Drosophila melanogaster: one gene and its partners. The protein of the gene in region 2 interacts with the protein of the main gene of each other region in a pairwise test. Each region holds a gene or a part of one and is shown on either strand. Other genes may lie near its edges.

What was found.
Region 1: the proteins of Polr2B (region 2) and noc interact in a two-hybrid assay, tested with the Drosophila melanogaster proteins (one large-scale study listed by BioGRID).
Region 3: the proteins of Polr2B (region 2) and CG10154 interact in a two-hybrid assay, tested with the Drosophila melanogaster proteins (one large-scale study listed by BioGRID).

Annotation. Positions count from the first base shown.
Region 1 is NT_033779.5:14,489,013-14,494,868, forward strand, and holds noc (no ocelli), read left to right. Parts: upstream 1-1,846; 5' UTR 1,847-2,233; coding exon 2,234-2,323; intron 2,324-2,625; coding exon 2,626-4,149; 3' UTR 4,150-5,007; downstream 5,008-5,856. UniProt on the Drosophila melanogaster protein: May negatively regulate Notch-induced cell proliferation in the eye-head primordium. Required for development of the supraesophageal ganglion and ocelli.
Region 2 is NT_033777.3:14,123,688-14,130,898, reverse strand, and holds Polr2B (RNA polymerase II subunit B), read right to left. Parts: upstream 5,109-7,211; 5' UTR 4,953-5,108; coding exon 4,931-4,952; intron 4,804-4,930; coding exon 2,635-4,803; intron 2,560-2,634; coding exon 1,625-2,559; intron 1,566-1,624; coding exon 1,161-1,565; 3' UTR 788-1,160; downstream 1-787. Other genes in the region: CG14356 (uncharacterized protein), read left to right, coding at 1-135; 140up (upstream of RpII140), read left to right, coding at 5,423-5,595, 5,659-5,824, 5,886-5,974, 6,037-6,394; twf (twinfilin), read right to left, coding at 6,712-6,864, 7,149-7,211. UniProt on the Drosophila melanogaster protein: DNA-dependent RNA polymerase catalyzes the transcription of DNA into RNA using the four ribonucleoside triphosphates as substrates. Second largest component of RNA polymerase II which synthesizes mRNA precursors and many functional non-coding RNAs.
Region 3 is NT_037436.4:13,434,910-13,439,221, forward strand, and holds CG10154 (uncharacterized protein), read right to left. Parts: upstream 2,228-4,312; 5' UTR 2,188-2,227; coding exon 2,187-2,187; intron 2,123-2,186; coding exon 1,883-2,122; intron 1,797-1,882; coding exon 1,312-1,796; intron 1,170-1,311; coding exon 945-1,169; 3' UTR 771-944; downstream 1-770. Other genes in the region: CG10725 (uncharacterized protein), read left to right, coding at 3,077-3,077, 3,136-3,282, 3,341-3,777, 3,842-4,066.

The DNA of each region.
Region 1 (5,856 bases), on a different chromosome or scaffold from region 2:
AATTTGCTAGTAAATAATTCACATACAGGAGCAGCGAATTTATGACGCTGACAAAGTGGCCATAAAAAATAACAAATAATAAGAGAAAATGCTATGGAACGTGTGCGTAAACTCTCCAACTCTGCAGCAGTATACATGCATATATACACGTATATACATTATTTTGGCAACACTTTTTTCGCTTTGTTGCACGCAAAACCGCAAATTATGTCTAAGCCGTATCGTAAAGTATCGCAGCACGCTCTTAACTAATAAATCCATCATTTCGCCGAAGGCCGAGAGTGTTTCCTCTACCTGTTTTAGCCTCGAAGGTATTTCGCTGCCGGGTTTCGGCTTAGGGATTCCCACAGAAAAATGTCTAAACACTCTAAATCGGGATTAAAAGTGTCGCTTCTGGGTTTTCGGCTTATCGTCCATATTTATACAGATTTTAATTTACTTGCCAGGGGCTTTGAAGGGTTCTTAAAACTCAGCTTGGTGATTAGGTAACATATCCCAAGGGCCAGATATTCCAAAATCCCCTCGGGGCTTGAGTTAAACATCTTGATACATAGTTTATGGTTAGTCCAACCGATTTGGTTGGGATTACGTTGGAGTTTTAATATCGGTTAGGTAAAGTGGCTAGAATGATCTAGATCAACAAAATCTAAATGATTAGTCACATAATATTTTCTAACTACTTAAATAATAGTAATCAATTATGTTTAGAAGGAGCTAGCCTATTATTAGCTCTTAATAATTTAATATAAATCAGCCTCGTTTTGCAATTAAACATTATTAGTATTCAGTAATTATCTTGAAACCAAGCAACGTGATTAACGCGATTTCGTGCGAAACGTAAATAAGTAAGTTAGGCAAGTGCTAACTGGAAAATTCAATCCAATTGTAGAGCGATTAAAAATGCAGCGGAGTTAACCAAACCATTAAACTATTACCAACTCTCTGAGTGCAACATGCCACAACACACATTCGCTTGTTTGATATGTGCAGATTAATTACACACACACCAAGGAAGGAGGAAAAATTGCTTGGAAAAACTTTTCGACGCGACAACAAAACAACGATTTCCACTTAAACAGCAAAACAGGAGCCACGAAAAAAAAGAGGGAAAACCAACCGCAGAAGTTAATCGAAAAACGCTAAACAAAGGCCACAACAACAGCTGTGCGAGTGAGCGGGTCAGAGGGAGAGAGGTGAAGTGCCAGAGCGGGAGAGCGACAAACAAATTAATTTTTATATGACATTAAAACGAGCGAAGCGAGGCGATGGAAATGGTTGAAGAGTGTGTTTAAGTGTTGAGTGGTTTGCTTTTCCGAGCAACAAATCTCGGTGCGAAGACAATGAGGCCTCTGCCGCGCCGCTGCCGCCACCACTGCAGCGCTGCTGCTGCTGACAGCCCCATCAAGAAAAAGTTCCCCCAGAGAGACACAGAGAGGGAGAGTGAGCGTGACATATGTGCCAAGATAAAATTAATGTGCCCCCCAAAGCAGCCACAACAACAACAACTCACTGAGCGGCGCTCTCAGCGCTCAACTGTTGCTCTCTGGACGAGTGTTGCCGTGGTGCAGCCATATTATTATGATTTTACAGGAAGCCAAATCGGAGAGCGAGAGAGAGAAAACCTGTCTTGGCTTCCATTGCAAGGCGCATGCGATTGTGATTGGACAAAAAGTACGCCATATTTGAAAATTACGCACAGTGCATCTCGCTCGCATGCAGCAGGCGGTGCTCCTCTAACGCAGGCAGCAAGCCAAAGTGTGCAGCGCTGCTCGCCGGAGAGCGCTCTCTCGCGAGTGAGCGAACGCTTCGCTGCGAGGGCAGTTACGCTCGCTGCCGCAGTCGTTGAATTCAATTCGAATTTTGACTTCGCAGCGTTCAGACGTGTTCGGAAAAACCTGAAAACCATTCGAGTGACAAGAGATATAACCAACAAAAATAAGAAACCTCAGTCAACTGTGGTCACTGATCGAGAGTGTTTCGTTTCGAGTGAAAAAGTGAAATCAGAGCCAAAACACAAATCGCTTGGCCAGCAAATTGAAATAGTGCTACAGAGATAAATTCTCTGCTCAAAACTACAAGTGTGTTAAATCGCCGATTTTCTTTGGATTTACCAACGTTTGCCGACGCATTTCTGTGGATTAACCTCATCGTCGCCGAAGCAAAGCTACGCATTTGTAGCCTTGTCTCGCAACTCACGTGGATTACCCTCGAGAAAACACACTAAGCAACTGATATGGTTGTCTTGGAAGGAGGCGGCGGCGTTGTTACCATCGGTAACAACCAGTACCTTCAACCGGATTATCTGGCCCCATTGCCAACGACGGTTAGTATTGACTAAGTTAAAAGCTGTAAAATTTTGGGATGGCCGTAAAATCTATGGTTTTAAATTTTGCGTACTTAAGAATTAAATTTGGAAAGTTCATAACATCAAACAATTTTTCAAATCTAAAAATTTATATCGTCATTAATACTTTCACGAACAAACTTTCTTTGGAAGAAATTGCATTTTCTCATAGTTTTAACTTCTCACCAAATTAAAATCAATATTATCTTAAAACTCGTAAAAAACTTTAAAATTACAAAAAACCTAATTCCAACTCCACATTTTCATTTTATTCATAACAGATGGACGCCAAAAAGAGTCCCTTGGCTCTGCTCGCACAGACTTGCTCCCAAATTGGAGCGGATTCGTCGGCAGTGAAACCCCTGCTGGCAATGGACAAGAACAAGACAAAGCCCGGAGCATGCTCCTCGTCGTCGAACTCGTCGAGTTCCTCGGGCAGTGCTGAGATCTCGGCAGCCAAGTCACCCTCCGGCCAGGCCAAATCGCCCAAGTCGAGCACTCCAATCAGCTCGACGGCAACCAGCGCAAGTCTGAGTAATACCAGCACCGGTGAAATCAAACTGGCCTTCAAGCCCTACGAGACCAATGTGCTGAGCCACCAGAACCAGAACTCCTTCAAGAGCAGCTCTTCGCTGGATGCGGAACCCACGCGTCCCAGCTCTAAGAACTCCTCATCCGCCCAGGAGCGTGTGCCATCGCGCAGCAAATCAAATGCCACGCCCACAGATGGCGGCAAGGCGGAGATTTCCGCGCACGATTCCTCATCCAGCCGAAAGACTGTCTCCCCGTCGGGATCGTCGCAACGCGGCGCCAGTCCCATTGTGCGCTCCGGCATGGAGGTGCTGAACAATGCCAACGGAACCGCCCAGCATCCCAAGGAAATGAGCAGCATGGCTGCGGCGGCAGCAGCAGCAGCAGCGGCTTACAAGGCCGCCGGACCCTATGGGCTGAATCCCCTGTCCGCCCTGTGCTGCCCGCCCGGAATGGAGCAGCACGCCAATCCCGCTTTCCGGCCACCGTTTGCCGGAGGATTCTCACACCATCACGCCGCCATGTTGGCAGTTGCCGCCAATGGAGGATATCCAGGCGGAGCTCCCGGCGGTGGACCAGCCGGACAGCCCAATCCGTACATAAGTTATCAGCGCATCAAGACACCAGCTGGCGGCGAGGCTATAGTGCCAGTCTGCAAGGATCCGTATTGCCAGGGATGTCCCTACTCGGCGCACACGCAACAAATGCTCATGGGTGCCCCCTGCCCCGCCGGATGCACCCAGTGCGAGCATCAGAAATACGGCCTGGCCATGGCCAGTGCCGCCGGACTGCCACCAGCTCATCCATACTCGCAGGCAGCGGCCGCTGCTGCGGCAAACGCGGCGGCAGCCCGTTCGGCACCCTACGTGTGCAGTTGGGTGGTGGGCGATGCCTACTGCGGCAAGCGATTCCAGACCTCCGACGAGCTCTTCTCCCACCTGCGCACCCATACGGGCAATCTCTCCGATCCGGCGGCTGCTGCGGCGGCCTTGGCCCAATCGCAGGCTCAATCCCTGCTGGGAACCCTATTTCCGCCATCGGCTCTCCGAGCTGGCTATCCAACACCACCACTGAGTCCCATGTCAGCGGCTGCGGCAGCGGCGAGGTATCATCCATACGCCAAGCCACCACCAGGCGCCTTGGCTGGAGGACCTTCGCCCTTCGGCGCCGCTGGAGCATTCAATCCTGCCGCGGCGGCTGCGGCAGCTGCTCTGGGACCCTACTACTCGCCATACGCCATGTACGGCCAGAGGATGGGAGCGGCTCATCAGTAAAGTGACTTCCACAAGAGTTAAATACCAAAAAAAAGGGGATTACGTTGAAGAGACAACCAGAGATATAGAATGAAACCATTTCCAAACCCTGTTTGAGATACTTTCATGGAAAACAAAAAAGATAAAAGCACAAAACGATTGCAAAGGCTGACACATCTCTGGCTTTTGCGCTATTCTGTGATACTAAACTGTAGTTTAAAGAGCGCTAGTTACACTTAAGTTTCGCAAACAGAAAATAATCAACCACCTAAAGAACAGTAGTAGCCGCAAAAATAGCAGGATCACTCTCTTCTATCATCGTAAATGTCTACATTGTTAGGTAAAAAGAAGTGCAGCCAACACGAAGTTCACTCACTCTTATTTGTTCTCAAAGTTCAACCAAAGTTTTTTAAGTCTTAGCCAGAACACATTCTACAACTTCCAATTTTGTTAATGAAGAACCCATTGCTGAGATGTTCAAACATTGTTTTAGTTTAACTTCGCTTTAAGTTCTATTAACTATTATTACGATTATCTGCAAGCATACAACAAACCAACAATTGAAATAATGTTCTTTAAGTCAACTTATATTTAAAGTAAGTGTAATGAATATTTGTAATACCAACCAATCAGAGATAAAAAATTAAAAAAAAATAATAATAATTACGAAAAATAAAAATGAATATTTCATATAATTATGTACTGTGTGTAAATTCTATAAATATAAACTAGATTTGCTATTTACTCCTTGATGTACGCAAACCACAATACGATCTACACAAGAAGCCACGGAATATCAAACAAAAATAACTTAAACTACATGCAACACATTCGTATAAAACTGAGAAATATACAAGAAAAAACAATTTTTAGAAGCATAAACCACGAATCTTTTCTTTTGAAACAAACTCTTTTACAGCTGGAAAACTTTTTGTTGGGCCATAATTTCGCTTCGGTTATCTGCGCTGTTTGGCTAGCTCACATATGGGTCATAAATATTGCTGATAATGCTCCACTAGGTTTTCAATTATATTTACATAAGGCTGAGTGGCAAATTCCGGAAACCATAACAAGGTCTAATTCTCTTAATTTTATAGTTCTTACTTAGAAATGGGACTAAAGGAGTTTTTAATTCTGAGAATTGAACTGCTTCTTATAAGTATCATTGATATTAAATGTAAGGTTCTAGGCAAATAAATAAATAAAATCTTATAGGTTATTCTTTAAAAATATTTTAATTAGTTTTATTTTAGACAAAAGGTATTTTAATGTGCTCTCAATTTTTTCTGGATGCACTCGAAGAAATCTGGGTTTCCCCATCTCACCTAACACATTTGAAATTCAAATTAGTACTATTAATTTGCATTGCTTGTTGCATTTTAAGCGCACTCAATTTGTATGCAGCGATTCGTATTCAGCCTAAAAAATCAAATCAAAAGCAAATTTCAATTTCACGAGGGGTGGGGTAAATAACTTGATTGGGCAAGCCTTAATAAAACAGTCGCCGGCAACAGTCATAAAACACCCAAGCTGAAAATTAAAAATCAATAAAAATCACATTTGTACCAACAATGTGTATAACAAAAATCAATTGCCATTCAATGAGCAACTCAAATGCATATATAAATGAATATGTGTGCATATGTACGTATGTATGTACATATAAAAAAATCGCTGACAAAGCGAAATGACTAACATTATTCACAAAAAATATGCTTCAGAAATATC
Region 2 (7,211 bases):
CGCAAAAATCTCGGCCTAAAGGACATATTCTATGTGAAGGCGCTCACCAACGGACGATTTAGCCATGAGCGACTGAAGGTTTACCGGGTGCCCGAGTTCTACGCCATCAGTGTTTTTAGCAACGGTGATAAATGAGCAGAGACACCGGTTGTTGGCGATAAAAAAGGAGTAAAATAAGTTATTTTTAAGATGCTATAAATAAATACCTCAGGCGTGCCCAAGTGGAGTGTTTCATTCCGCTTTTTTTTTTTTTTTGTTGCTCTGAACTGAACTCTCTTATCGCGGCGCCACTTCGCGTTCGCGGATTTACACGCAATTTCAATTACTCATAAGCCGGGCTCAGGCGGGCTGACTGATGGGTGTCAGCATGGTCTTGGCCATCAGCCCCAACATTGGTATCAGCATTGGCAGCGACACGAGTTCGGTTGGGCCGATGCTGCTCGTTCCGTCGGAGCCACGTCAAGTGGCAATTAATAACTGTCAGTCGATTGGCGGCTGTGGCTACAGCTCCACCACCTTCTCCACCGCACACAATCCACATCCGACAACAAAGAACTAATCCCTTTTGTCACTGGGCGTCACAGACCGCGGGCCAAAGCATTACGTCAAAATCAAAGAAGGCAACAAAAGCTTGGCAAAAAAATAAATGCGAATGGAAAGGCTTTCTATGTAAAAAACCGAATTTAGGATACGCTTAGGGCGAAGGTATTTTGCTGGATAATGGACTTTGTTAGGGGATTACCAAAGAAAAATTGGAGCAAATAAAGAGTCAGAACGCAGATTATTTGATGTCCTAAAACGTACAGGGATTGACAACTAAATTGCCAACAAAAATTTAATCACAAATAATACCAAAACCTTTCAATGCCCTATTTGCCCTCTCAAGAAAAGTTTGTGAGCAAAATAACTTATTACAAATAAGCAAATAAATCACATTCCACTAACAGCTCTTGAACCCGTGCAGACTTTCGCCCAAAATACGCTTGTGGCACGTTCGCGTCTTTAAAAATGCTCGGCAGGTATTCGCTCCAGTTCCGGGAATAATAGAAAATGCCACACAAAGCACATAATTGAGTTGTCACAATTATGGTAATTTAATAATTAACTGCTAGCATTTAGCTTAGGGCTATTATGTGGTCCGGTTGCGGATACCGATCTGATTAGGTGACCATCAGGCGCGGCGCAATGTTCATTGACATCAGCTCCTGGAAGAGAAGCTTGGCCGCATATGGGAGTCGCACCTGGGAAATCTGCGTCTTGTTCTTGCAGCCCTTGCACTCGAACGTATTGTTGCGCAGATTGGCGATGGCAATCAGGCCACAGAAGTTGCAGATGTGTACGCGGTACGGATCGGAGACCTCGAATAAACGTTCTCGCAGGAACTGAGCGGCGCCGTGGGAGATCTGGCAATCACGCTCCATCTCACCGAAACGCAAGCCACCATCACGAGCACGACCTTCCATAGGCTGACGCACCAGGATCTGGACGGGGCCTCGAGCACGAGAGTGAATCTTGTCGTCCACCATGTGCTTAAGACGCTGATAGTAGGTGGGCCCCAGGAAGACCTGTAGTTAAGGGACTGATTAGTTTAAGATTATTGCAAGTTGAAAGTTAAGCAATTTACCTGAGCATTAATCTTTCGTCCAGTGTGGCCATTGTACATGACCTCATTGCCTCGAAGATGATAGCCGTACTCCTGAAGGAAGGTGGAGATCTTTTGCACGTTGACGGCATCGTTGAAGGGTGTAGCATCACCGATCTCTCCCTTGTTGGATCCCAGTTTTCCCTGCAGACACTCGATCAAGTGACCAATTGTCATACGAGATGGGATAGCGTGGGGGTTAATAATGATATCGGGTGCCAATCCCTCGCATGTGAAGGCCATGTCCTCCTGACGGTACTGGATGCCGCACGTTCCCTTTTGTCCGTGACGAGAAGCGAACTTATCGCCGATCTGCGGAATACGCACCGAGCGCACTCGAATCTTGCAGAACTTGTAGCCCTCGCTGTTGAGCGTAAGCATCACCTGGTCCACAATACCCGTCTCAGAGTTTCGCAGGAAAGTGGAGGCATCTCGTTTGGAGAAACGCTTCGTGTTGCTGTCCAGTTCGTCGTCGTTTTCAGGAAGGGTAATGGTCTTGCCAATAACCACATCGTCGCCAGATACACGAATTCCTGGGGCAATAATTCCATCATCGTCTAACTTGTCGTAGTGAGCATTTCTCATTCCTTGGCAGGTGCCGCGATGAGGCTTCTCGAAGTTCTCTTCCTGATCACCGACACGTTTGTTCTCCGAATCCTTGTATGATCGGTAGAACACAGAGCGGAAGAATCCACGCTCCACAGCGGATGCATTCAGAATGACAGAATCCTCCTGGTTGTAGCCAGTGTAGCAGAGAATAGCCACGATTGAATTGATGCCAGCTGGTAGTTCTCGGAAACGCAGGTACTCCATGGAACGTGTGGTCACAAGTGGCTTCATCGGATAGTAAAGTACGTGGGCTAGTGTGTCCATACGCACGTGGAAGTTGGTAATATAAACGCCCATAGCTTGCTTACCTATAAAAGATGAAAAAAACGTTATAAATGGATTAGTATTTCAAGTAGAACAGTAATGAATACTCATAAACTTACCCATAGCGCTTTGATAGGTGTTACGCGGACTCTGATTGTGATCGGGGAAGGGAATAATGGACGCGCACACGCCCAGGATCATGGCTGGATGGATCTCACAATGTGTGTATGTGGTACAATAAGCATAATCCTTGTCCTGCTTCAGATCGTAGGGAGACATAGCGATCATGACCGTTTCCTCCTCAAGGGTATCAATGTACTCCACCACTCCAGAGGCTACAAGGACCTGCCAACTGTAGTTGTTGTAGTCTCGCTCCTTTAACATCTCCACGTGAGTCTTTTTAAGCAGCAGCGATCCGTTTTCCACGATGAGAAGTGGCCGACAAATGCGACCAGCATCTGTATAGATTCGGATCTCACGATCTCGAATGTCTCGAATCATAGACACCTCTGACACGATGATATCCATCTGGCGACGCAACTTACGAAGCGTTGCCATGAGCTGCTCAGGATCACGATGTATGCCCACCCAGCAGCCGTTCACAAAGATCTTTGTAGCATCAGCGATGGCAGAAGGAGCAATTTCCTCCAGGTTTTCCATAGACCACTCCTCCAAGAACTCCAGAATGGGAGAAGGTTGTGATCCCACAGAAATGTAAGCCATGAGCGCCAGGTTCTTCACCAGACCAACAGCTGCTCCCTCAGGAGTTTCAGCGGGACACAACATACCCCAAAGAGTATTGTGCAACTGACGAGGTTTGGCCAGTTTACCGTCTCTGCCAATTGGCGAATTCACACGCCGCAAATGGGAAAGAGTAGAGGCGAAGGTCAAGCGATTCAACACCTGGGAGACACCGGCTCTCGCCTGATGCGCCTTCTTCTGGTCGCCCCAATTGCCAGTGGCCAAGGAATACCTTAAACCATCAGTAATAATATTAGTCTTGATGGCCAGTTCAAGGTTGAAGTCCTTTCCGCGATCGATGAACTTCTGTGTGTACATGCGCACCTCTTTCATCAGGTTTTTGAACAGACCACGGAAGAGGAAGGCCAGGAGGGGTCCAGCGAGATCAAGTCGCTTGTTTCCATAGTGATCTCGATCATCGAGTTCTCTCCTGCCCAAAGAGGCTAAGAGCAGCCGGTGAACCATGTAGCCCAAAAAGTATGCCTTCTTGGTCTCGCAGAAATCGGATACTCCAACGTGGGGCAGCATTTCCTTTTGCAAAATTTCCTTAGCGTACTTTATACGCTTGTCTTTTGTGACTCCGGGACGTGCTCCTCTAGCTCCAATGAAATTCAAGGCAACATTCTGCTCTTGGACTACAAAAGCCTCGTCCAGAGAAGGTTTCACCATTTCCATCATCTCGGGATCGTCGAAGTCATAGATGATATGCTCCAGAATATCGCGATCGGCCACGAAGCCCAATGCTCGAAACACAATCATAATGGGTATCTCCTGTTTGATGTACGGTAAGATGGCAATAATCCTCTGACCAATGGCTGACTTTTTTATGTTTTGCGATCCTCTTGCCATCATGTTTACCCACAGTGTAGACGTGGGTCTGGAACTGTGCTCCAAACACGACCGAATCTCAGTCTTAAAGGCATACTTGCCATCTTTCATGCTGAACACGTACACTGTGTTGGTGGCCATTTTCTCTTGGGCAATTAGCACCTTCTCGGAGCCGTTGATGATGAAGTAGCCACCGGGATCCAACGGGCACTCGTTCAGCTCCGTAAGATCACGATCAGTAAGCTGTGATAGCAAACAGTACGTTGATCTCAACATGATGGGAATCTTGCCTATGAAAGTCTTTTGATGCTGCGTTTCCACGGGATCCAGGCCCTCGACATTCTTGGTTTTCGTAATGTCCACGTAGAGAGGAGCGGAGTAAGTTAGATTTCGCAGGCGGGCCTCGTTCGGCATCATAGGACTGGGCGAACCATCCTTTTCCCAATGTGTTGGCTTGGAAAGATAGATTTGCTCGAATTTCAGCGAGAATCTGGGCGGGGTTTCCACCTCTCCGGATGTGTGCTGCGCTTCCGCCTGCAACTCAATGGCGGGGGAATCCTCCACAATGCGCTGCACCGACATCTGAATGAACTCATCGAAACTGTCCAGCTGCTGCCGCACCAAGCCCTTCTCGTCGAAGTACGCGTTAATCACGATCCAGCAGGCTTCCTGCCACAGCTCGTGAGAGATCTCCTCGGCATTCTCCTCCTCGTACAGTTCTGCAAGATGTTATTTGACCATTGAAATTCATTGCTAACAATGCGGAGCCCTAGCGCTCCAGCCGCCATATTAATTTTGGTACACGCCAACGTGCATGCACAAATTTTCGCAATTCATTTTACTCACCTTCCTCGTTGTCGTACATCATGATTTCAGTTTTCTAAAGTGCAGAAGCACTTTATGCGTTCAAGTAAATAACAATAAATTGGATTTGCAATGAATTAAATTGTAAAAACGTAGAAAATTTCACAACAAATGTTTGCCGACAACGCGATTAGCGGCGTTGTGCTGTGTTGGTAAACGGCAAAAGCAAAGCACAAGGTGCAGTTCATAAAGTTATAGCAAATACTTGTAAACACAATAAAATTGTTTTTGGCAACAAAATAAATTTAAAAGTGTGAATGATATAAGAAAAAAATATATGAACAACTAAATGAGTATGTAACTTAAATTATTATAATAATATAATTTTATTAATAACAAACGCATTTAAATTAAAAACAATTAAACCGAGAGTTTGCCAACACCAATGACACGCACACTTTCCAACACTAACAGACCGGCAAACAGCTGAGATTGTTGTACTCGTTTTACTTGGTTATTTAACACGCTTAAAAAATGAATTTTCTGTGGAAAGGACGCCGGTTTCTGATCGCAGGCATCCTGCCAACATTCGAAGGCGCCGCAGATGAAATAGTCGATAAGGAAAACAAAACATACAAGGCCTTTCTGGCCAGTAAACCACCAGAGGAAACAGGACTGGAGCGCCTCAAGCAAATGTTTACAATCGAGTAGGAAAACTAAGAATTCCATTTATACTAAAATCTACTGACCGTACATAAACATTTAAATAGCGAGTTTGGCAGCATATCCTCCGAGCTTAACTCGGTTTACCAGGCCGGCTTCCTAGGATTCCTTATTGGAGCTATTTACGGCGGAGTTACACAATCGCGCGTGGCCTACATGAATTTCATGGAGAACAACCAGGCCACAGCATTTAAATCGCACTTTGATGCCAAGGTAGGTATCTACGTATTATCATTTAAATATGTTATAATCAAGTTTTTAATCATAATTACAGAAAAAGCTGCAAGATCAATTCACAGTCAACTTTGCCAAAGGCGGCTTCAAATGGGGCTGGCGAGTGGGACTTTTTACCACATCCTACTTGTAAGTTCAGCAACACGAATTCAAATCTGTATCTGTGTGATACAAAAATGTGTTCCTTACAGCGGCATCATCACTTGTATGTCGGTGTACCGTGGAAAATCCTCAATCTACGAATACTTGGCCGCTGGTTCCATCACCGGCTCGCTTTACAAAGTGAGTCTTGGTCTGCGGGGCATGGCGGCAGGTGGAATCATTGGAGGTTTCTTGGGCGGCGTGGCTGGTGTGACGTCGCTGCTGCTGATGAAAGCATCAGGGACCTCGATGGAAGAGGTTCGCTACTGGCAGTACAAATGGCGACTCGATCGCGACGAAAACATTCAACAGGCGTTCAAAAAACTGACAGAGGACGAAAACCCAGAGCTTTTCAAGGCCCACGACGAGAAAACATCCGAACATGTATCGCTGGACACGATCAAGTGAGTCCTGAGGACTTAAAGAAGACGCCAGTGTGAACTTAGTTACTTTTTTTAATTTAAATAAATTGCATATATGTCCATCTAAAGTTACATAGACAAGAATACATTTAAGGAAGCCCACTTTGGCGGCTGCTATGCGATGTTTCAGTTGATGCCTAGTGCCTCTAAAGATATCGACTGACGTACGGACACATATAGACACGGGATAGACACAACACAAAAGAAATAAACGATTGGATACAATAAATTAAATGCTCTGCTAGGAAACAGTACGTAGAAGGGCGATAAACAGAATTGACTCGGTGGGATCGGGATTCAGACTTAGTCCTCTGCGGTGGGACGCGTGAGGCGCTTGGCGCCTCGGTTTGGTGGCCCCTTGGGCTTGGCAAAAGCCGGTCGGTGTAGAATCTTCTTTGGGTGCAGCTCGTCCTGCAAGAAGGCTTCGGTCAGCTCGCTGCCGCTGTCGATTTCAAGCTGAAATGTAAAACGTTGTTAGAAACATGAATCAGATTTAGTATGATTTAAAATTACTCATTATTTATGATTTACAGATTTCTATTTCAAGTGAAAAGTGAGACATTCGCCCTAATTATGATTCAAAATATTTCTAGAGATCGTGAATCAAAAGTATAGTGAATGTGGCGATTTGAAAGCAATAAATAAATCACAAACAATATATACCCTGCTTTTGCTTTTTATAGCCCTAATCTTTAGTGCTATTAGCGCAGCCACACCCACTCGCATTCATATCAACTCACCTTCTTAACAACCTCCACGCCAAGGGCCGCGAGCTCGTCGAGAAAAGGAGCCTTACAGCTTGA
Region 3 (4,312 bases), on a different chromosome or scaffold from region 2:
AGTCCTTGAACGCTCAACTGACCCGACACGACAAACACACAAATGACACACACACACACACGCAGGCTGGCTTGGCAAATAAATATCCTTTTTGCGAAGAGCTCGTCACACGAAGGACTCATGCGACTCATGCGAACTTTGTATTCACTTTAATTCAATTCGATTCAATTCAAAAAATCAGCCACCGCTGACTCGCGCTCGAATAATTGTATTTTGCCAACCTTGCGGCCCGAGACGCAGGTGGGCGGTGGGTGGTGGGTGGTTGTGAGGTTGTGTGTTGGACGATGGGTGATTCGCCTGCGATTCGAACGGCGCAAGGACTCGCAGCCAACTGAATGTGTGAATGCAGCTGGGCCAGCGTCGCGCTCGTTTTCACTTTCATGAGTTTCGCAGAGCGCTCTTTCACTTCCCACCGCCCCCACGGATGGTTTTCCTCTTTTTCCTTTTTGCCAACAGACAGCGTTTTGTTTTTGCTTTCTGTATATGTGGCCGTGCCACTCGGTGGGCGAGCGGGTGGTTGGCGTTTGCAACCAGAAGAGCATGAATGGGGTGCTCTGTGGAGCACTCTTTCTCTCTTTTTTGGAAAATAAACACTGTGGCTGCACAGCACATGCGCCGTTTACAAAACACCATTGTGAACGGGCCATCCAATTCAAATTGTAACGTTTTGTAGCAAACATTTTATTGGTAAATTAATTGAATTTATTTTTTTCCATTTCTTACTAGTGGAACTTTCTTGGGATGATAAGAGAGTCTTACACCAAATGATTGGTCCCTTTAATAAATCTTTAAAATAACGACACTAAAAATGTTATGTGCTCTTTTAAAAAACATTTCAGAATAAACAATTTGTATCACTTCTTACATTCACAAAATCTCTTATCATTTCATAAAATCGAAAATCAAAAGCAACAGGTTGTAATTATTTATTTATGAAAACTCAGTTAGACACCAACGAATTCAGGTCTGCGGCAATCCTCCACTTTGGGATCGTAGTAAAGACCCGGAGTGCAGTCTAGTGTGACTCCACGTCCTTCGACGCAGTAATAATATGCATCTCGGCGAGATTTGTGTGGGAAGAAGTGAGTTCCCATAAGGGGACACTTAATGTCAGCACGACGCAGAGGGGTTCGGGAATATGGCAGAATATTCCTGGCTACAGCATCAATCTAGAGATATTTAGGTATAAATAAATAAATTATTAAATTACTCCAGAAGCAGTATAAAATGTACTTTAAACCAATCCAAAACAATCAATTTAAAAATATATATTTGAAATGAAAAAAATCCACTTTCACTTTTTCTACTCACCGTGCAGTTAACATTCTTGGCAAAGTCGCAGCACTTGCAGCTGGGATTGTAGGCCAAGCCAGGAGCACACTGCTGTTCCCACGGATGACCATTGGAACAGACGTAATACTTGCTGCATGATGCCTTACTACCCAGGTAGATGATGTCCTCTGGCTGGAAGGTGGCGGAACAGTCGTTGGCCACACAGTCCACATACTCGGGGAAGTCACAGCGATCCGTGGCGTTGTTGTACTGGAGTCCATCGTGGCATTGGCGTAGCACGGGTTTGCCGTAATAGCAAAGCACGTACTTGGTACAGGTGTTGTCGTAGCAGAAGCTGCTCAATCGGAACGACTCACAGGTGGGCAGACACTGTACCTCCTCCATGTAGGTGCACACTTGGAGAACAGGATCGTAGCCCAGCTCACACGACTTGTTCGGATCGCAAATATCTGGATTATCCTTTGCCAAATCCAAGCAGCTGCCTACTTCCTTAATAGTATTGTCTTAAATACATGGATAGTTTAATGTATTAAAAATATTTTTCATTTGCTTTAAAAACTTATGTGATGTTTTAGTGTATATAACTCACTTTCACACTCGATATATTTGGAGCAATTTCCAACATAGGGCAAATAAACGCCATCCGCCACATTGCCGCAGACATTTATCTGGGTGTTTTCGTACATATCGTAAATATCCTTATCCTGAACATTTAGGCCCTCACCATCGTCGTCTGGACCGGGAGCTACTACAAGATCTTCATCGGCCCGGTTCCGATGAACCATCAAAATGATGAATAGTAGTAGGAGCCCATTTAATAGCCACTTCACTTGGGAAATTACGATTTATTAGGTAAATGAACTATAGGGAATCCCATCGCATGAGCAACTTACTCCTGGATAGTTTGAACTGTGTGCCACAACTGTTTGCTATCAGGCCAGGAAATATTCATTTTATATCGACTCTCTTTCATCGCCTAATGAGTTTTTGCCAATTTACACTTATCAACCAGGTTATTTCGGCACACGACTCCTCTAGAGGAAAACTACGCCATTATTTCTGCAAACATTTCGACTTTCAATTTGTCACCACCAAACTTGGCGATAATAGTCATAGTCGAAATGTTTTAAATAGACTGGTTCCCAGAACCCGTGGATATCGATGAAAAGTGTTTTAATTTCCTTGCACGTGTGGTTTTTTTTTTTATCACTTTAGTGCACGAGTGGTTTAAACATTCAAAGTATTACTGCGCTAGCGATTAAGATATGAAAAGAAAAATAAATAAAATAAAAAATAATTTTATAGAATAATACATTCTATTTGGATTAACTAGGAGCATTTCCTTCCTGTACAACAAATATACATACATATATCTTGAAGAAAATCTTAAACCTAAACTACAACTTAATAATTTCTAGATCTTCAAAGTAATGGGGCTTCCTATCCAAATATTCCAAACACTTGTAACAATTACATCGGATCTTGAGCGATCCGTGGTTCGATGATCAACTGTGACTCATCAATACACGTGTTTCCTAATGGCTGACAGAGGTGTATGTTCCTGAATATTGGCTCTTGTTCACCGAACTTATCTCCGCCAGACGAATTTGAATGAGGAAGAACAATCCAATTACCACATGGAAACATGCATCCACATCCGATAAGATTGGAAATTTGCACGGAATCAAAACAAATCGCAGATTGAATGGCAAGTGAGTTTGCCTATAAATGGAGGGGTTTTTCGAGGTAAGACGATAGTAACCGCAGGAAACCAACCTTGAATAGTGAGTATGAATTGCAGCTATGGAACCGAAATGATCTAACTTGGTTTATTTTCCAAAGTGATAAGTCGCCTGACCCTTTTGGCACTGGTTGCCCTGCTTGGAAGCTGTAGCGCTGCTGATGGCGATGTCAATGTCTGCTCCAATGTGGTCAACAATCTCTTTGTTCCCCAGGTGGGCAACTGTAGCAAGTACTTCCTGTGCATGAGTAAGTCACCAGCACCTGTGGATATCTAGTTCACCGCATTATCATGTTTCTATCCCAGATGAGATAGCTGTACCCCGTGAATGCCCCACGGACTACTACTTCGATGCGAGGGATCAGGAGTGTGTTCCCCTGATGGAGGTCGAGTGTATTGGATCCTGTAAGAACCGTGGTTTGTCATCGTTCTGTTACGATCGCACGTGCACCAAGTACGTTCTCTGCTTCGACGGCACTCCGGTGATCCGTCAGTGCTCCGATGGACTGCAGTACAACGCCCTGACCGATCGCTGTGACTATCCGCAGTATGTCGACTGCGTGGACAATCTGTGCAGCCGGAATAATAATCCGGATGACATCGTTTTCATACCCAGCAAGGCTCGCTGTGACAAGTACTACATTTGCATGGATGGTCTTCCTCAAGTCCAGAACTGCACAAGTGGCCTGCAGTACAATCCAAGCACTCAGAGCTGCGATTTCCCCTCGAAAGTCAACTGCACGGTGCGTGTTTTTTTTTATCTGAAGTTTTCTGGGAGCCACATAAAAACCTATTCATTTCATTCAGGTGGAGAGCCTTCAACGGAATATCCTGCCCTTTGCCCGAGCTCCGCCACGTCTCGCCGACATTGAGTGTCCATCGGAGGGCGCCCACTTTATTGCCCACCAGAAGCGTCAGGATGCGTACTACTACTGCCTGAATGGACGTGGAGTCACCTTGGACTGCACACCCGGCCTGGTGTTCGATGCCAAGCGCGAGGAGTGCCGTGAACCACACCTCGTGGGCTTCTAGTTACTCGAAATAAAGATCCAATACGATTTCAAACAAACGAATGCCTTTATAATACTCGTACTATGAAAAGAAAAGCTTGACAGATTATGTTAATGGGTCTTAAATAAGGCATCCACTTATTTTTTACAATCATCTTAAACCTACCAATTGATTGATTGAACTTGTTGCAAGGGAAATTTACGTTAAAAAGCTATTTGAATACATATTCAAATAACCACTTTATTTTAAAATCATACTATTCGGACA